5 linked regions of the Ovis aries genome follow. The protein of the gene in region 5 interacts with the protein of the main gene of each other region in a pairwise test. Links are inferred from orthologs where the notes say so. Each region holds a gene or a part of one and is shown on either strand. Other genes may lie near its edges. The genes, in order: EXOC7, SEC23IP, NECAB2, NUP62 and SSC5D.

The links.
Region 1: the proteins of SSC5D (region 5) and EXOC7 interact in binary tests that used the Homo sapiens proteins (3 or more experiments, as listed by UniProt). The two-hybrid records come from large-scale screens. The link is inferred for Ovis aries from reciprocal best matches to the Homo sapiens genes SSC5D and EXOC7.
Region 2: the proteins of SSC5D (region 5) and SEC23IP interact in binary tests that used the Homo sapiens proteins (3 or more experiments, as listed by UniProt). The two-hybrid records come from large-scale screens. The link is inferred for Ovis aries from reciprocal best matches to the Homo sapiens genes SSC5D and SEC23IP.
Region 3: the proteins of SSC5D (region 5) and NECAB2 interact in binary tests that used the Homo sapiens proteins (3 or more experiments, as listed by UniProt). The two-hybrid records come from large-scale screens. The link is inferred for Ovis aries from reciprocal best matches to the Homo sapiens genes SSC5D and NECAB2.
Region 4: the proteins of SSC5D (region 5) and NUP62 interact in binary tests that used the Homo sapiens proteins (3 or more experiments, as listed by UniProt). The two-hybrid records come from large-scale screens. The link is inferred for Ovis aries from reciprocal best matches to the Homo sapiens genes SSC5D and NUP62.

The regions. Positions count from the first base shown.
Region 1 is NC_056064.1:54,912,904-54,916,416, reverse strand, and holds part of EXOC7 (exocyst complex component 7), read right to left. Parts: coding exon 3,389-3,513; intron 567-3,388; coding exon 474-566; intron 1-473. UniProt on the Homo sapiens protein: Component of the exocyst complex involved in the docking of exocytic vesicles with fusion sites on the plasma membrane.
Region 2 is NC_056075.1:39,501,367-39,505,470, reverse strand, and holds the start of SEC23IP (SEC23-interacting protein), read right to left. Parts: upstream 2,809-4,104; 5' UTR 2,653-2,808; coding exon 2,469-2,652; intron 1-2,468. Other genes in the region: MCMBP (mini-chromosome maintenance complex-binding protein), read left to right, coding at 3,105-3,162. UniProt on the Homo sapiens protein: Plays a role in the organization of endoplasmic reticulum exit sites. Specifically binds to phosphatidylinositol 3-phosphate (PI(3)P), phosphatidylinositol 4-phosphate (PI(4)P) and phosphatidylinositol 5-phosphate (PI(5)P).
Region 3 is NC_056067.1:9,830,576-9,834,606, reverse strand, and holds the start of NECAB2 (N-terminal EF-hand calcium-binding protein 2), read right to left. Parts: upstream 2,810-4,031; 5' UTR 1,865-2,809; coding exon 1,572-1,864; intron 1,492-1,571; exon of another isoform or gene 1,486-1,491; coding exon 1,374-1,485; exon of another isoform or gene 589-1,373; coding exon of another isoform or gene 515-588; intron 206-514; coding exon 181-205; intron 1-180. UniProt on the Homo sapiens protein: May act as a signaling scaffold protein that senses intracellular calcium.
Region 4 is NC_056067.1:55,979,955-55,982,650, forward strand, and holds the end of NUP62 (nuclear pore glycoprotein p62), read right to left. Parts: coding exon 1,459-2,696; 3' UTR 512-1,458; downstream 1-511. UniProt on the Homo sapiens protein: Essential component of the nuclear pore complex. The N-terminal is probably involved in nucleocytoplasmic transport.
Region 5 is NC_056067.1:62,800,931-62,805,197, reverse strand, and holds the start of SSC5D (soluble scavenger receptor cysteine-rich domain-containing protein SSC5D), read left to right. Parts: upstream 1-1,459; 5' UTR 1,460-1,551; coding exon 1,552-1,576; intron 1,577-2,044; coding exon 2,045-2,071; intron 2,072-2,337; coding exon 2,338-2,646; exon of another isoform or gene 2,647-2,902; coding exon of another isoform or gene 2,903-2,918; intron 2,919-3,258; coding exon 3,259-3,378; intron 3,379-3,564; coding exon 3,565-3,678; intron 3,679-4,017; coding exon 4,018-4,267.

The sequences.
Region 1 (3,513 bases), on a different chromosome or scaffold from region 5:
GGTCCACTGGGGCAGGGCTGTCCCTCCTCTGATGGGAGACAGGGGGGACATAGGCTGCCCGTCTCCCACGGCACACGCTCCCCTTTCTGAAGGTGGGGGGTGGCGGGGGGCAGCCAGCTTGGTCCTGCCACTGCTGGTCTGAGCGTGAAAGGGCTACCCGTGACAGAGAACTTTCTCCGAGTTCAAACGGGAGACAAGAAGGACAGAGACAGGATGGGGAGGGGGCAGGAAGCCTCCCGGGGGGCAGAGCCGCCGTCAGTCAGACAGGACTAGGCCAAGACCACAAAGGCTGCCCCTGAGCCAGCCAGCGGGGCTCAGTGACCCCAGGGACCTCAGTTCCCACCCCACCCCCCGCCCCCTGCCCCTCTCAGGCTTATGCCAGAGGCCGTCTGGGAGGTGGAGGCTCTGCCCTGCCATGGGAGTGGACACACAGTGGAGGAGGAGGGAACTGGAGAGGAACACGGGGTGATTACCTTCCAGAGGAATGAGGTTAGAGCCCCCCTTTTTCCCATCTAGACCATGCTGGGAATATTGTTTCAGAAGGTTCTGAGCCTTACGGATCGTCCCTGTCACCAGAGCCACACAGAGAGGAGACAAGAAGACCTAGGAAATGAGTGAGAAAACAGCAGCAGCCCTCCACCGGCCCCTCTCCCCCAGGCCCGCGCCCACCCCCAGCAGTGAGCACGCCCGGACAGAGGAATGGAGCCATTTTATTCTTTCAGGAGACTCCTGGTTCTGCCAGTGACCCTCATGTTCTGGGTCTGAGTTCATTTGAGGAAGTGCAGTGGGTGAAGGAGATGAGATGGGCAAAGATCCACCAGGAGAACCAAAAATTAACAAAGAAAACAACAGTACTGAGTGGCACTTAGATCATAGGCCCTGGGACAGAGGAGCAAGTCATGGAGCTCTAGAGCCCAGAAAGGGTGATCCAGGGGACACCTCGAGGCCCTCAGGTCCTCTCCCAAGGGCAGGCCGAGCTCTCTGGGAAGCTCTCCGGGCACGCTCAGTGCCAGAAGCGGCCAAGCAGCAGCCCACCAAAAGCAGGAGACCCAGGAGGTGGCGAAATGGGCCTGGGCTTCCAGGGACAGCAGTGGGAGGCTTGGAGATCCAGAGGCAGAGTGGCCCACACACCAGGGCAGGGACCCGAACCATCAGAGCTCTTGGGAATGACTCAAAAGCCGAGGAGAAGTTAACAGAGGCCACCACACAGAGAGCTGGAGCGGGAGGGCCACAGGAAAGGGGGCATGCTCTTGGCATGGGGGGAAAAAACCAACAGTTAGTATCACACGTGAGAACAATGACAACGCCGCAGTGCCCACAGCCTCTCAAGTCAGCTACCTCTACGGGAGCGAGAGAGCTCAGGGCAGAACACGTGGGGGAAATAAAACAGCACTCAAAACAGACGTGTGCAGCTGCCTCGTTAACAAAGCAGGGGGCAGGGCAGGCACCGTGAGGGTAACTCGGGTCCCTCTCCCCTGGGGACTCCTGGGTGCCCTCCCCAGCATCTCTGAACACAGGGAGGCTGCTTTGGGTCCTGGCAGCTCCCCAAAAGGCTGGGGGAGGCAGGACATTTCTCTCTGTGCGCACCAACCACAATTAGCTACTAACAGCCGAATTCAGGGCTCCGGTTCAGCATCTGTCTCGCCATGTTCTTCAGCGAGCGGCCCCACTAATGAGTGAATCGGTTTCCTGCCGCACGGACAAGCGGGAGCAGATGGGCCCACGCAGCCTTCAGGAGCCTCACCAGCACGTCCACGTGGATGTGGGCTGGGGACATTGATCTGGCAGCCACCAAGCCCATCAAGTGCCCAACTACCTCGGATGATGCCAGGGTCAGTGTTTCATTACCCACCGCACCGCCCAGCTTCGCTCAAGAGCTGGGAATCACATCCTGGGGTCCTGTCTCCCTAGTTTCTGACATCAGTTCTGAGCCCCTCCCAACCCAAGCTTCTGACAACTCTTGAAACCCCACAGAAACCAAAGGGACCCTCACAGTTACAGCCGTCCTTTTGGCAGGCTCGAAGTCAAGGCTGCTTTAGGTCCAGCAGGAGCACCGAGGTCAGACCCCGGCTCCCCTGCAGGGCCAGCAGTGCTCCTGGATGCAGTCTGGGTCCTGGGGTGCCCGTCGGAGAAGAGACAGAGGGGAGGAGAGCGCAGGCCTGCCGAGGCCCAAGAAGCCCCACAGCCTCACTGAGCTAAGGCGCAGAGACGGAAAGGCCCGTGTGGCAGGCGGCTGTGGCCATGCAGGCAGCCTTACTAGAGTCCCTGTTTGCGGCCAGTTCTCCCGGGGGGGTGGCCAGGACATCCACACTGGTGGGGGGAAGGGCCCCTGGCTTCCCTCCCGCCCTGCCCACTGGTGCCCTGCCTGCGGGCAGCCTCTGCTCTGCCGTGTCTCCAAATCCTGAACCAAGGCCTGAGGAGCAGCGGGTTTTCAGGGCAACTGTGAACAGGCAACCCTGCTCCCTGAGGGGCAGGGAAGGAAAGCGCTGTCACGAAGGACGGTCCCACCGGTGCCTCTGGGCACATGAGGCAACAGCAGCTGGACCAGGTGGGCTGAGGCGGGAACAGCCCCTGGCCTCACGTGCTCTCTCTCTCTCCCTGGGGTCTGCAGTGGTCCCTCACCCCGGAAGACCCCAGCCTCTCAAGGGCAACACCTCTCAGTGGCTAGACACAGCTAGGCTTGCCAAGCGGAAGATGGCACGCGGGAACACTGTTTATCCGGAGCACAGACCACGGGGCACACGATGACGGGAAGAAGGCCAGACAGTGAGCTGTTCGCCCAGGACACCTGCAGCCCAGGCCTCTCCCCCCTCAACAACCCTCCCCCGAGTCCCCATGGCCAGACACAAGCTTCGAGTGGAACCCAAAAGCCCGACTGTGTCCTTCGGCGAGGATGGCCTGAGATTTTTTTTTTCTTTCTGGATGGATGGACTGTGAAAGAGCACTCTCCCCTCTCTACTTCTTAACTATGCATCAGGTCAAGCAGCCTGGGCTTCCTGGAAGGTGAAGGCCACCGCGCCTGCCCCTGTCCCATTCCACAGTTTTGGTGGCGGCAGCAGGCCTGGCCTTTACACAAGACGACGGAGACAGGCCAAGGGCGCCCAGCGAGTGGCTGCCCCTGCACCCGTCACCTCACCTCTCCAGGCCTGTGACCCACTGCTCCAAGGATCCTTATACAGCCCCCAGACTCGCGAGAAAGGAGCTCACTGGACCAGGCCTTGCTGGGTGGGCAGACACCTGCTTTCTGTCCCGTGTACCTTGGTCAGGGGTACTGTGAGGACAAGCTCTAAAGGGGCTGACGCTGCTCACCCCAGGGTGGGCCTGGGCAACCCAGGTCCCAGGTGGCCCTCGGGATGGTTCCGAGGTGGGCCGGTGGGGGGGTGCTCACCTGGCCGCTTGACCGGCTTCTTGGTGGGTGTGTCTTTCCTCTTGTTGGGGATGGCAGGGGAGTAGGGGACCCCAGAGGAAGAGCTGCTCTTCCGGAAATGCTCCTTCAGGCCTTTGATGGAGCGA
Region 2 (4,104 bases), on a different chromosome or scaffold from region 5:
AGGACAAAGGACTTTGGGAAAATAATGTATGAAAAATATCTGATGTGACTTCCCTGGGGAAGTGGTGAAGAATTCGCTTGCCAATGCAGGGGACATAGGTTTGATACCTGTTCCAGGAAGATTCCATATGCCACGGGGCAGCTAAGCCCACAATCACTGACCCTGCACACACTAGAGCCTGCGCTCTACCACAAGAGAAGCCACCACAATAAGCCCACCCACCTCAACGAGAGAGGAGCCCCCGCTTGCCACAATGAAGACCCAGAGCAGCCAAAATTATAATTAATTAATTAAAACATACTCAATGTGCCTATTTAGAAAGGAGATTTAGGCACTTAATGGAAAGTATGCATTATCCATTCAGCAACTATTTATTGCACATCTATGACGTCAGACACTGTTCTAGGTACTTGGGAACAATACAGCATAAAAATACCAAAATCACTGCTTCAAAGTTCTCATAATCTAGTGGAAATTTCAGTGCAGCTGAGGTTGAATTCATGCTAAGTATACAGAAAATAAGCAAATGTTTACAAGAAACTTTTACCCCATCCTGGAGGCAACGACATTCAATTCTTTCCGCTGATTGTTTCAGTATCTCTGTATTTTAAAATTAATATTATATTGTCACTTCTGAGTTTTCCTTTTTTTCTCCTTTGAATTGTGTGTTGACTTCCCAGGTTTAAGATGAGGTTTAAATCTTCTTTATCCTATCACATATATGAATCCTATACATCCTCATACCCTTAGCTTCCTAAAGTTAAATTATAATGTTGCTTAGATAAATATTCTAATTTAACATTATTATGCTGTTAAATACTCTTGAGAGCTTTGTCCTGACATAAATTGTGACTCTTAATTTTCTATTCAAGTTTTTGTTTTCCTTGCCTTAAGACTTGGAATAACTTTCCCTCACGCTTTTCACCTAGCTAACTCTTACTTATCTTTCAAGTCCCAGTGAAAAATGTCACATTTTCAGGAAACCCCTGAAGGATCCTTTCCCCAAAACCCTCCCTCACTAGACTAGATGGTGCTATTCAATCCTTTTATAGAACTTCACTTTTTCTTTCCTGGTACCTATCATGGTTGTAAATGGATAATTATTCAGTAATAAGTCTCTCACTGAACTGGACATAACATGAAGGCAGTGGGTCTTTGTTGCAGTCCAGGGGGGCTTCTCTTGTGGAACACAGGCTCTAGGGTGCGTGGGCTCAGTAGTTGTAGCCCACCAGCTTAGTTGCCCCTCAGCATGTGGAATTTTAGTTTCCCACGAAGGATCAACTTGGGTCCCCTGCATTGGAAAACAAATTCTTAACCATTGGACCATCACAGAAGTCCTTAATGCCTTTCTTAAAAATACAGACTTGAGAGTGGGGGAAGTGTGATTGCCAGCAGTGGGAAAAAAAATCTTGCCATAGAGAAATACTCTTATGGACCTTCCCTTGGCCTTTTAAGTTTTCATAACCACTCATTAGTAGTGTCAAAACATCTTGGGTGAAATTATTCACATTATTTCAGTAGGATCACAGTGTCTCTTAAAGTTAAATCTGAACAATTGTCTACAAATCACTGACTACAGAGGGAGAAACCAAAAGCTGAAGTGTTCTTAGCCACTGCTGAATTGGTGTCCAGCTGCAATTTCATATACAGCAAATTGAAATTATTATAATTTAAAAGATTGTATGTCACAAAGCTAAATAGGAGATTTCTCTATTCAATACCAGGAATCTCGAGCCCTTCTAAGCTAAATGAATGAATGAAAGTAGTAATGCCAACGATTTGAAACCGTTTTCTCAGCTCACCCAAACTCACAAGAGCCAGATGTATAGTATAATATGCCAATCACAGTCATCCCTTGGTATCAATTGCAGGGAATTGGTTCCAGGAACAGATATCTGAATGCCAGAGTTTCTTATGTAAAATGGTACGAAATAGTACAGACGACTCTGCGTGATCAGGTCTCCATAGCTTCAGTTTCCACATCCGGGTATTCAACCAGCCTTGCCCACCAGATTCAGAGGAATGTAATTAGTTCACAGTGACAGATACAAAATAAACCCTTTTGCCCTAAGGAGGGCTTGAGATCCGAGTTCAGTTCTCCAGCTCCTCACTTTTTAGGGAGTGGAGATGATCGCATTCGGATCATCCTTCTGTTAATACGCTGTACTTCAGGTTATGAGAGGGAGGGTTTTTTCCGATATATTTCAGATCTAGGGGCTGTTTCATTATAGAACTTGGATATTTTCCAAATTTCCTCATTCAAAGGTTACTATTAACCAGATCTTTTCTGTGTACAGATACCACTGTCTTGATCCAGTCGAGGGAAGACTTGATCCAGTGGAGGAAAGTCATTACAGGGGGTTTCTAGCACGGAACCAAACAAAAGAGTTGCCATTGGCCAAAAAAAAAAAAAAAAAAAAACCACTAAGAGGCGGGACGAGGTGGGCAGACACCAGAGGCAACGTTACCTTCTAATTTTGCCCAGAGATAACTTTGAGGTCTCTTTGCGCTTGTGCTCTTGGACTGTTGCGGTCTCCGACCTGCGCAAGGCCTCGCCACTATAAACAGATAAACCAGACATCGGGAGTTTCTCCTTTGGAGTCTGCAGAGGGACACCGAGCAATATGCAGCCCTCAAGTAACCACGCGGCATGCTCGCGAGGCCACCCCTGCCCTTCCCCTCGCCCGTCTCCAAGATGGCGACCGCCCTGCCGCCGCGGCCCCGCCCCGCCGAGCCCCACCCCCTCTCCCCGGAGCAAGGCCGCCCCGCCTCCCCGCCGCGGGGCCGCGCTGCGCGCTCCCGCCGCCCCTCCCCGCACGAGCTCCACCCAGGTCGCCGGCAGCGCGGTCGGCGGCGGCGGCGCCTATTTCCCGCCATTGTGCGAAGTGGAGGCTGGGGGCCCGCACGCGCCGCCTGCCCGTGGCCGGCAGCGCCTCACAGCCGCCGCCTCCGCCGCCGTTCCCTGAGGCGCGGGGAGGCCAGGCGGCCCGCGCCGCGAGGCTTTCCCTGCGTGGGAGGGCGCGGGCGAGGAGCGGCCGAGCCCCCGACGAGGAGCAGAGGCGCGCGGGACGCCCGGGCCGCGCCGGCTCCGGCCAGTCGGCGAGATGCCCTGTGGGGAGGATTGGCTCAGCCACCCGCTGGGCATCGTGCAGGGCTTCTTCGGTGAGTGGCGGCGCCCGGGGGGCGGGCGGGGTCCGGGCGGGCCGCCGAGTTCACCGAGCCCCCGGGGCCCGGACCCTGCCGCGCGGCGCCCAGGCGGGGCCGCCTCGAGGGCTCGAGCGGCCGAGACGGTCAGCCGGGCCTGCGCCGCCGGCGCTCGGCAACCCCCTCCCGCCCGGAGAGTCCGGGCCGCGGCTGCCCGGGCCCGGGCCGCAGGTGCCTCCCACCTGCCCGATTCGCGACTCCCGAGCCACCAAGGTTACGGCGCCAGGAGCCGGCTGCCGGCCGTGATTGACGGCCTCGCTTCCCCCTTCGTGGCCCCGCGGGCGGACCCTGAGCCCCGCGTGCGGCCGGACTCTGGGGTTGGGGGGTCCTCGAACCTTTCGGGAGGACCCGCAGAGATGTGCTGAAGGGAAAAGCACTTTGCCTATGGGAAGCCCGCAGGACATTTCAAAACTTCCGGTGTGTGGGGGGAGTGCTCGCGTGCTTGCTCGCTCGCTGCAGAAGTTGGCTGTAACTCCTGGGTTACACACATCCTCCTTTTTCGAGATAAGATTTCGTGTGATAACTTAGATTTTTTTCCGTTAGGACACCTTTAAAACATGTCTCGTCTCCCCATCTCCTCTTGGGCCAGAGCTAGCAAGAAATGGTGAACGAACTCAGATGCGTTCCTGCATAGAAAGAGCTTAGCATGTGGCAGGCAAGCTCAGGAAATTTCACTTGCAGTCATGGTTAATGACACTTTTCGGGTAGGGTACACAAAGAAAAATTTAGGTCTGGTTGCCGTTCACTAGGCATTTTGGCCCCACCCCGCATGTCTTTTGCACTCAGGAGTGGTGGAGGCAAACCCAACCGGGAATCAGTGTGTAAGATCAGAACACCTGACTTGTCAGGAGGTAACTTGAACTTGGAAAGTGGCCTTCCTCACTTAAGACCTTGTGGAAT
Region 3 (4,031 bases), about 53 Mb from region 5:
CATAACTCACCGCACTGCCCACACCTGCCCGCTGAAGCCGCATGGCTCCCCTGCTCAGTAGGAACCACAGGGGTCCCTCGTAGGATGGAGAAACAGGCGCAGGGCAGCGTCCTGCACCCCCAACCAGAAAGAGCCAGGTCCTCACACGGGGACAGCCTCGCGGGGTGTGGGAAGACTCACCGTTTTTGTCCGCACGGCGGAAAATCTGCAGAGAAGAGAGGTCGAGTCAGTGTCGGCTGGGAGGGGCAGGCTTCCAACACCCCCAGCCCAGTGGACCTGCGGAAGCCGGGCCCCTTTTCCCTCCTGAGGGAGGAGACCCGGGGGTGGAAGGGTGTTTCAGGCAGTGGCCCTCCAGCTCCCCTCGAGGAGACAGCCTCCCCTCTTCCTCAGGCGCTGCTGGCCATGCGGTCGAGAGCACGCCGCACGGGTGTGTGTCCAGAACCTTTGGCCCACGTGCAGCACCCACAGGCGGCTGCGTGCTCCCCACTCCCGTCCGTGGGAGGCAGCCACTCACCTTACACCCCCACTAGGACCTCTCGAGGGCCTGGTGTTCTCCAGGGAGGGTGGGTTAAATCTGAACAGAGGCATCTGCCAAGCAAACCTCGAGGCCTGACGACAGGATCAGCCAGTGCACGGCGGGATTAGTTTTTTGGGGGTGGTCAGTGGGTAGGAGCAGCCCGCAAGCAGCTCAGAAAGAGAGGCGGGGAGGGAAGGGGCAGCCTGGTCCCCTCCAGCTGCAGCTGAAACCAGATAGCTCCTCCTGGTGTTTTTAGTCCTAGTAAGCCTTGCTGGGGGCTGCCCTGGTGGCTCAGATGGTAAAGAATCCACCTGCAATGTGCGAGACCTGGGTTCGATCCTTGGGTCAGGAAGATCCCCTGGAGAAGGGAAAGGCTACCCACTCCAGTATCTGGCCTGGAGAATTCCATGGACAAAGGAGTCTGGCAGGCTACAGTCCATGGGGTCGCAGAGTCGGACCCTTCTGAGTGACTTAGCACGCGTGCACGCAAGCCTTGCTGAAGGTAGGAAGAGGGGGAGACGCCGCCCCCAGCGTGTGACCCTCACACCTTGGAGAGCGGGAGCTGGGCCCCTCCCTCCAAGCAGTAGGGCAGGCATCCATTGTCAGGCACCCGGGCTGTGACAAACTGAAGCAGCAGCTCAGGAAAGATATTCTCAAACATTCCCCCTTTCTTGAGCTGAACCCCAAGTTGGGGCAGGGGACACAGGTCTGGAGCAGCTGGGGCAGAAAAGGGGGCAGCTGCCAGCACCCCAGCTTGTGCACCGCACACTGCCTGCTCCTGACTGCAAGGTTCCCGAGGAGGCTGGAGTCCCACCTTCAGGTGCCGGGGCCGGGGGTGAGCGTTAAAGTGACTGACCTGACAGGAGATGTGGCCCTGGCACTCGCTCATCACCCCCATTTCACAGATGAGGAGACTGGGGCTCAGAGCCAGCAGCGTGGCGTGAGGACTCCAGAGTCCACGTCCTGTCCTGTGCAAAAGGGGGGGGGCCTGGACAGAGCTGTCCGCTGCAAGGGCTTTCAGCTGCGAACTCACTGGGGCTTTGAGAGGGCTCACCTGTGCAGGTGCGAGTGGGCTGTGTGTGAGCACGTTCTGGGAAGCCTGGGAGCCATGGCCACGTGCGGCAGATCACCCCCTGCCCTGTCGGCTGAGAGCCAGCGATGGAGGCTCCAACAGGAACGTGGTGGGGGTGGAGGGGCGAGAGGAAACCCACACTGTCCCCCTCTCACCAGGATGTGATACACACACCTCTCCCTGAAACCCACCCACCATACATAAACATGGCACCCCCAGCCCCGTGTCACCCACCTCGGAGGACCCTCCCTAGGACAGGCACACCCCACTGCCATGCTGCCCCTTGGGGTGGGCAGAGCACCCCACGGGGGACGCCCCCCCACCCTGCAGAAGGCTCCCTCCTACAGAGGAGAGTGGGTGGGAGGGTGAGGTGGGGCGGTTTGGGCTCCAGAGGACGTGGGGGAGGGGTGCGGAGTGGGGGTGAGGAGGAGAGAGGGTGAAAAGGGGAGGGGGTGAGCAGGGGGAGGGGTGAGGAAAGGGAGAGGGAGGGGTGAGGAGAGGGAGAGGGAGGGGGGAGCGGGGGAAGGGGATCAAGGACTGGCTCAGAATGGAGTGGTGGTCCTCAGAGAGGATGGGGGATGGCTCCAGTCCTACTGAAAGGAGAGAGGAAGGCAGGTGGGGAGGGGGCTTTGCTTTTAAAAAGGTGGTGCCTGAGGCAAAAGGGTTGAGGATACAAGGGCTTAAGGTCCAAAGCTCGGACAAGAAAAATGGCCCTGGACCCAGGGATTGTGTGTGTGATGGGGTGGGTTGGGGGGAGAGTCTTAGAAAAGTAAGGACGGGGGGCAGGGGTCGGTGGGGCGGGCAGGAGCAGGGGCCGACGGCGGTCTGGGACTCGCGTCCCGGGAAGGAGCTGGGTGAAGGATGAAGCGCGGGCTGGAGAAAGATGAGGGTTTGGCCAGGACAGAAGTAGGGGGCGGTGGCCGGGTCGAGGGGCTCCAGGGTCCCGGCTCCGAGAATGTGGAGATCCCGAGAAGGGGAGGGAGGTAAAGGGGTCGTCCCGGTCCGGGGACGAGACGGGACCCGCACGGAGACCGGCCCGGGGGCCGAAGAGCTGGGGGCCGCGCTCTGCACAAGGAGGAGCCGGTGGATCCCGCTCTGGACCCCCGGGGTGCGGGCCAGCGTCCCTGCCCGGGGACCCCTGCCCCTCAAGCAGAAGGGGGTCTTGCAGGTCCCAGCGGGGTCCCGGGAGCGTGGCGTCCGCGTCGCCCGGTGGGGAGAACGGGTCCCGGCCCGCGCGTACTCACGTCCAGGATGACGGCGGTGCCCCCGCGCGGCGAGGCGGGGCCCGGGTAGGGGCCGGGGTCCGCGACGGGGGTGTTGGGGGCGTCGGGGGCCAGCGGCGCCCGGGGCTCGCCCATCCTGGCGCCCACCCAGCGCAGCAGCCCGCCCAGCGCCCGGCCCTGCGGCGGCGGCTCCCGGAGCAGCCTGTGCGCGCCGGCCCTGCACAGGCGCGCCGCCCGCTCGCACATCGCGCCGCGCCCGCCGCCGCCGCCGCCCGGAAGCCCGCCGACCCCCGCCCGGCCCGCGGCCCGCCCCCGCGCGACCCCCTCCCCGGCGCCGCCCGCCGCCGCCGCCCGCGCCCCGCCCTCCCTCCCTCTGCCCCCGCGGCCGCGGCCACGCGGGGACGGGCCGGCGCTGGGGGACGGGAGGGGGTGGGCGCCGCCCCGCCCGGACCCGGAGCCACGTGCCCCGTGGGCCACCGCCCCCGCCCCCGGCGGCCGGGCGCGGCGGCAGGGGGCTGCCGGCAGTGGGCCGCGGGGCTGGGGAGCTAGACCCCGGCCCGGCCACGGAGGGGGCTGCCTGGCAGGCGCGGGGTTTTGGGGGTCTGGCTTCGGGGGTGCATCCCTGGGGGCTGCCCCCATTCCGAAAGTCTCCCCCTGCCCGCCCTCCAGAAGAATCCCCCCTCCTCCACTCCGTGGCGCCGCCGCCGGGGCCGGAGCGCTGTGTCCGGCGAGCCGGTAGCGCCCTCTGCCGGCTGCAGCCCAAGGAACGCGCGCCCACGCACTGGGGCCTTCTCCACTCCGCAAGTACCCACTCGTCCCTTCCACCGGGTGCACGCCCCTCAGACCTCCCCCGCGAGTTAAACAACGCCCAGAACTAGTGTTCCCCACCCCTGGAACACCCTCTTCCCCTTATACTCCCTGCGTCCATCCTTCCAGACTCCCACCCACCGAACCAGAGAATTAAAGGAGCCCCTGCTGGGTGCTAGGCCTGGTGGCCGCACTGGGTTCCAAGAACATCGGGAAAACAGGAGGGCTTGCCTTGGCCTCCTGGAGCTTACAGCCAAGTGGGTGGAGCCAGATACTGGAAGTGAAAGTGAAAGTGAAGTCTCTCAGTCGTGTCCGACTCTTTGCGACCCGTGGACTGTAGCCCACCAAGCTCCTCCGTTCATGGGATTCTCCAGGCAAGAATACTGGAGTGGGTTGCCATTTCCTTCTCCAA
Region 4 (2,696 bases), about 6.8 Mb from region 5:
GATCTGGTGTGTAGCGAGTGCTCCAAAGATGGATGCTGAGTGAATACATGTAGGTAAAATACTACTTCCTACTTCCTAAGGGGACTCAAGGGGGTGGGATACGGGTACCGGATGGGGTCACGGCTCCCAGACTACAGAGGGCCACTGTCGCAGGGGGTAGAGCCTTTGGAGAAGCAACTGGGGTTGCTGGGGTCTCCCGCCTCTGGTTTGTTCCCCCCTCTCTTCCGCGGCTTCCGCTTGGATGAGACAGTGGTCTCTAGAAGTCCAAGATGACCTGAGGAAATGACTCATGGTCATGACTTTGGCAAAGTGGACCATGTATGTGCAGGAATAAGCCCTGGGCACTCCAGAGCCAAAACACAGCTCAGTGTGCGCGAGCCAAGGGAGGCCAGAGGGCAGACTTCCTGCCCTGTGCCACGAGCAAGAGCTGAGCGCCTTCCCCCACAAGCATGACCTGGAACCTACTCTTTTCCCAACCTTCTCCTTCTAAGTTATCCACAGAAACAGCAGCTTTTAAATTCCACAATACATTTTATTTAGGGAAGCAACATACAGCTATAGGTATTTCAGAGTACAGCAGAGTGTAAAGACAAACACAGAAGACCCCTGGGACACGGCTGGCCCTGGACACTGGATCTCATTGGAACCAGCCAGGTTTGTCTCGACTCCGGGAGGTGCAGAATCAAGTCTGTGGCTGCCCCTGGCACCCTGGCCACCTCCACAGGCATTCATTCGGCGGGCGAGCGTTTTATGCCGGTCTCATCTCTACTCTTCATCTGTTTGATGCTGTGACAGGGACTGCTGTGCTGAGCACACAAGGGGGACAGGAAACAAGCCCTGCCCACAGGGTGCACAACCTTTCGGTGAGGCTGAGAAGCGAGGAGTCTGCAGTCTTGTGTGGCCAGTGTTACCAAAGGCGCGCTCGCAAGCTCAGCGTGGAGTGGGCCCACGGGACAGCACCGACCTGGCTTTAGGGTGGCCGACGCGGTGTGTCAGCCAGGCGAGGGGAGACTGCTCTTCTCTTCTGACCTGTCTCTCCTCCTCTGAGAACGTCCCACTGTCCGCTCCACCCACAAGCCACTTCTCTGCACTGCTCACTCACTCCAGGCGGCTGGCTCAGTGAGGCTGGAGCTCTCCTCCCCGCATCTCTGACTCTGCCGGGCAGAGTGGCGGCCTAGCGTCTCGGCTGGGAGACAGGCGGCTCTCTGGTGGCTCAGCCCTCCTCCAGCACAACTGGAGGCGGGTGGTTGTAGCAGGTGGAAAGGGTCTAGGACATGGAGAAAGCATACCCACGAGGCTGCAGCCTGGCCCAGAGCACTGAGAATACTTTCTATTCACTAAGACAAAAAGTCAAACCAGAGAACAGTTCTATTAACAGCACAACTGTTTGAAAGCCAGAAACACACAAACACGTATTTCCCCGCACTCCAACCACGAGGCAGTAAGCCCCGCCCGGGCTCAGTCGAAGGCGATGCGGCAGCTGCGCTCCTGCTCCTTGCGCCGGCCCTCGCACACCTTGGTCACCTCCTCCACCTTCCTCTGCAGCAGCGCCGAGCTCTGGTCGATCCACTGCAGCGAGTCCATGTGCGCGTTGAGGATCTTGCAGATCTGCTGCAGCGGGTCGCTGGTGTCGGCCGGGCCCCCCGATGTGTTCAAGTGCTCGATGATGTCCTTGAGGTCCTGGGCCATGCGCTTGAGCTGCGCGTCGATGTTCTCGGCCAGCTTGTAGGTCTTCTCGCGCTCCTCGTCTGCGTGCTGCAGGTGCACCGTGCCGCTCTGCTCCTTGACCGACTCCTCCAGCGGGCTCAGCAGGTCCTCCAGCTCCTTCTGCTGCGACAGGATGAAGTCGAGCTCCTGGTCCAGCCGCTTCTGGTCCAGCTTCACCTTCTCCACCTCGCGGTGGAGGCTGGTGATCCTCTCGCCGTTCTCGATCAGCGTGCGGTCCCAGGCGTTGACCTGCGTGGCCTGCTGCAGGAAGTGCCGTTCCTGGTCTTCCAGCTCCAGGCTCCACTTGTTGATGAGACTCTCCAGCTGGGCGTAGGTCAGCGCAGCGCTGCCGGATCCCCCGGCAGCCACGCTGGGACCGCTGGGCGCACTCCCGGAGGCCGCTGTGTTGCTGGGGATCCCGGCCGGAGTCAGGGGCTTTATGTTCAGGGAGAAGCCAGTGGTGCTGGTGCTGGTGGTGGTGGTGGTGGTGGTGGTGGTGGTGGTGGTTGTCGCCGTGGAGGTGGTGGAAGCTGCTCCAGGGGCCTTCAGGCTGAAGCCCAGTGTCCCCGCTCCTGCTGTCCCCGTGGTGGTCGCTGGGGTGCCAAGGGAGAGCCCGGTGGCGGCGGACGACGTGGGAGCAGTAGCCAGCGAGGTGAAGAGCGAGGGCCCGGCGCTGGCGGTGGTGGTGGTGGCGGCGGGAGTGGGCGCGGCTGGCTGTGCGGCTCCTGCTCCAGTGGCCGCTGGAGCGGCCGCAGTGAAGGGCAGCCCGCTGAGGGCTGGGGACTGGGCCGGGCCCCCCATGGAGCCTATGTTGAAGCCAGAGGTCCCAGTCTGGGATGCGCTCCCAGCCGTGAACGAGAAGCCCCCGGAAGTCGATGTGGTGGGCGGGGCGGCAGATGCTGCGGTGGAGCCAAACACAAAGCCGCCGGGTGCCGCGCCCTGGGCGGAGGTGCTGGTGCTGGCGCTGGAGACGGCACTGCTGAGCGTGC
Region 5 (4,267 bases):
GCAGACCCTAGCAGGAGGAAAAGCAGCACTTAGTGAGCACCTGCTGTGTGCAGGCACTTCCACACCATCCTTACCCCCCCCCCCCCCCGCCAGGGCCCAGCAGCTGAGGCCCGCAGAGGGCAAGAGACCCTGCCACAGCCTGATGCCCATCCATAGTGTTTGAACTTCTTAGAGAGTTCAACCCGTCCAACCCCTGCCTCAGATTCTGTCTGCGCAGAGAAATCTTATCTGTCTGTCTGCCAAGCCTGTGTTGCTTGTGCTATGACATGTGGCAGGAGAGGAGGCCGAGCAAGTACGCCCCCCACTGGGGTTAGGACTTGGCAGGGGTACCCCAAACAGGGACGAGGGCCCCCCTCAGCCCCGGGGAGGTAGGGTGGGGGGCGATGCCCATGCTTGGAAGGGGTGAGGCTGCAGAGGCAGAGAGGGGCTGAGCAAAGCTTCTGCAGGGGAGTGTTGTCTGCCTGGAGAGAGCCCCGGGGAGGGGGTGGTGGGCACAGGGCTGCCTGCCCAGCCCCTCCCCAGGAAGGTGGGAGCCCAGAGGGGCGGCCAGACCCATCTGGTTTTTTACACCCGTTTGTTAATAAAGCCTGTAACCGCTGCTCGCCATCTCTCTCTGATGCCTTTTCCAGTCTGCCTCCACACCCACCATTTCTGTCTGGCCCCTCCTTCCCGAGGTTGACAGTAATTGTCGGGAGGGGGGAGTGTGCTGGACTGGGGGCAGGGGAGGCGATGAGCTCAGGCAGCCCAGCTCCCTGCCAGCCCTCTGACTCACGCTCCCCATTACCGAATTTTTTCCGCCTCACAGCTGCTTAGTGCAGAGAGAGAGAGAGAAAGAGTACGTTCCTGTGCGTGTGTGTGTGTGTTGTGTGTGTGTGTGTGTGTGTGTGCAGTCGTCCTCCCCCACCCAAGTCTTGACCCTTGGCCCTCTCGACCCCTGACCCCAGTTTTCTTGGGAGACACACAGAGGGCTGATGACTTCTGCCTGCAAATCCACCAGGGGGAATGGAGAAGGGAGTCTCTCTGTCTCCTTTCCCAGTCCAGGAAGTCCTTCCTGGTGTCTGCCTGCAAGCCCTCTTGCTGCACCAGGTCCCCAACCCGGCAGCTGATGTGAGCCCACCCTCAAAGCCCTCTGCTTCCGGCACACCACCCTGGCGGGACAGGAGAAGCAGCAGATGGGTGGGCGCCCCGCCCTCGCACCCTGTCAGGATCCTCCCCTGCAGCCTGCTGCCCCCCAAGCCTGAGTGCGGCACTTCTGGCCAGCCGGCTGTCTCCTGTGTGGGTGTCTGCAGTTGGACACCCTCCCTCCCGCCCTCCACCGCCCTCCTCCACAGGCCTCAGCCGCCGGCCAGCCCCCTCCCCGCCCCGCTCCTGTCCCCTGCTGCCTCCTCGGCAGCCTCTCTTCCTCCTGCAGAGCGTCCAGCCCCCGCCCGCTCCTCCCCGGGTCCAGGGCTCCTCTGGCAGGCGCTCCCCTCCCTCCTGCGTCGGCGGTCCCCTCCTCCTAGCTCCTGCTCCCGTCCACTTCCACCCTGTCCCCACCCTGACTCTGCAAACATGAGGGTCCTGGCCTGCCTCCTCGGTGAGTGACCCTTCCCCTCCTCCGGGACTCAGGGTCCCCGGGCCGGGCCCTCTGACCCCTGAGCTGACCCACTGCAGAGCCTCTGAGTTCCAGGGCCCCGTCCCTGTTGCTTGGTGGGGGGGATGTGGGGGAGCACAGGACATCTGGCTGCCTCTGACTGATCCTCCAGGGACCTGGCCTCAGGCACCCTGAGTCCCACCTTCTCAGGAGACCCCAGGACTTCCTCTCCCCTCCATGAGCCCTGACCCTGCAGAGGGGGTTCACCCATCATTCACCTTTAGCCAGGCCCCCAGTGGGGAGAGCCAAGGGCCTGGCCCCCTGCCCAGACCTGAGGCCTCCGGGCTCCACCCATCCCAAGGACCTGGGCCTCGGCCAGGCGCTGGGCCCAAGTCCTCCTTCCCGGCGGCGGGGTTTCTGGTTCAGAGGAGCGAGGACCTCACTGCCTCACCCCTCCAACCTCCCTTCCAGTGGCTTTGATGGGGACCCAGGCTGTTGGTAAGTGGCCCCAAACACGTCTCCCATCTGGGTGCGCTCAGCTCCAAGCCTTCCCCACGCCCGGCCTGGGCTCACCCTCCCTTGGACCCTGGCCACCCTCGTGTGCCCACGACCCCCACACCACTTCTGCAGGACCACACGGTCACCCAGCTTCCTGCTTCCTAAGGGGCTCCCGGTCATGCCCCTGCAGGACAGCCCCCAGCCCCTGCCCTGCCCGCCAGTCCCGGGGTCTCCAGGATGTCACAGCCTCTCCTCCGTCCCTGCAGAGCGGCTGCGTCTGGCTGATGGGCCCCATGGGTGTGCGGGCCGCCTGGAGGTGTGGCACGGTGGGCGCTGGGGCACCGTGTGCGACGACGGCTGGGACCTGCGGGACGCTGCTGTGGCCTGCCGGGAGCTGGGCTGCGGGGGTGCGCTGGCCGCCCCCGGGGGCGCCTTCTTCGGGGAGGGTGCGGGGCCCGTGTGGCTGAGTGAACTGGCCTGCCGGGGTGGGGAGCGGCAGCTGGGCCTCTGCTCCCACCGGGGCTGGAAGGCCCACATCTGCTCACACGAGGAGGATGCGGGGGTCGTCTGTGCAGGTAAGGGGTCCTCAACCTCCTCAACGCCCAGGGACCCTCAGCCCAGTAACTAACTCTGAGCATCCAGAAGTCCAGACACCCTACCCCTGCCTCACTGAGAGACTGCCCTCTCCATAGCACTGGGGTGTTAGACGGTGGGTGTTGGAAGAACATCCTCCAAACTCTTTGGAAGGAACTTTGAGATTGATAAAGCTGGCAGCTCTGTAAAGGACAACTATGAAGTTTATCATGAACTCACACGGGGAACTCAGACAGGATGGATCTTGCAGATGGTGAGCCAGAGTTATTTATTTGCACCTGTGCTTCCCCCCACCTAAAGAGGTGCAGGAAGACTTAAAGGGGCCAGAGCAGGTCTGCACAGACTGGAACGGGGGATTGTCCCTTCCCTCAGGGGGTCTCATGACTATTATTTCTCATGGGCCACTTATCAACTGTGTCAGCAAAAAGCATCTGTCTTCAGAGAGAGGAAAGCAAGGGTAAAAACTGATAGGGAACCTACTTGGCTTGGGTGAAACTCAGCCATGCCAGGCAGGGTGGGGTGGGGGCGACCCGGGCCTGAGACGGGCCCACAGGAGGGAGCGTGGCCTCCAGCAACAGGCTGCTGTCCCCAAGGCCAGCGTGGGACAGACTCCAGGGACCACGACGACCCACCTTCAGTCCTGGATGGGGACCCCTGGCCGGGACCGGCAGGGGAGCTGAGCGCCGGCTCTGAGGAGCCCCCAGTGACACCTGGTGAGCCCCTTCCTGTGCTCTGGCTCCTGCTTTGGCCGTGAGGGAGAAGGGACAGAGGCCTGACTCCTCCACCCTCCCCGGGCCCCCGGTGATGCCCCCTTCAGACCCTTGGGGACTCTCAGGACTGACCTACAGCCCCAGGTTCAGCTGCCAACCGCCCTCCCTACTGTCCCCCTCCTCACCTAGCCCCCCGCCCAGCCGGGACCCCCCAGAGTGGCTCCCGGAAGAAAAGCCCCCGGCTGCCCAAGCCGGCCAAATCCACCAGGGCCCCAGTGCTGACTGCCGGAGCCCCCCGCCAGGGTAAGTCCGAGGCAGGCCTTCCATCTGCAGCAACTCCAGAAGGGGTCAGGCCCTAGGCCCCCCAGACCAAACTGGGGACCCTCAGGTGCAGGGTAGGGGGGCACCATGTCCCCGGGGATTCAGCCAGGTCCAGGCTCCCTGCCTGGTCAGTAGACCACTCGTGGCAGGCCCCCAGGCCCCGTGCCCTGTCCAGACCCTGACTTTCTGCCACTGGCCGGCTGGCAGGCTGATCTCAGTCCCCTGACCGCACGGGGCCTCCGTTTTCCCAGACGGAAAACGAGAGTGTACCAGCCGCCTCCACTAGGCCCCTCACAGCTCCCCCTCCTGCCCGCTCCGCAGAACGGCTGCGCCTGGTCTCCGGCCCCCACGGGTGCGCCGGGCGCCTAGAGGTGTGGCATGGTGGGCGCTGGGGCACCGTGTGCGACGACGGCTGGGACCTGCGGGACGCTGCCGTGGCCTGCCGGGAGCTGGGCTGCGGGGGCGCCCTGGCCGCCCCTGGGGGGGCTCGGTTCGGCCCGGGCGCGGGCCCCGTGTGGATGGACGATGTGGGGTGCGGAGGCGGAGAGCAGGCCCTGAGAGACTGTCCCCG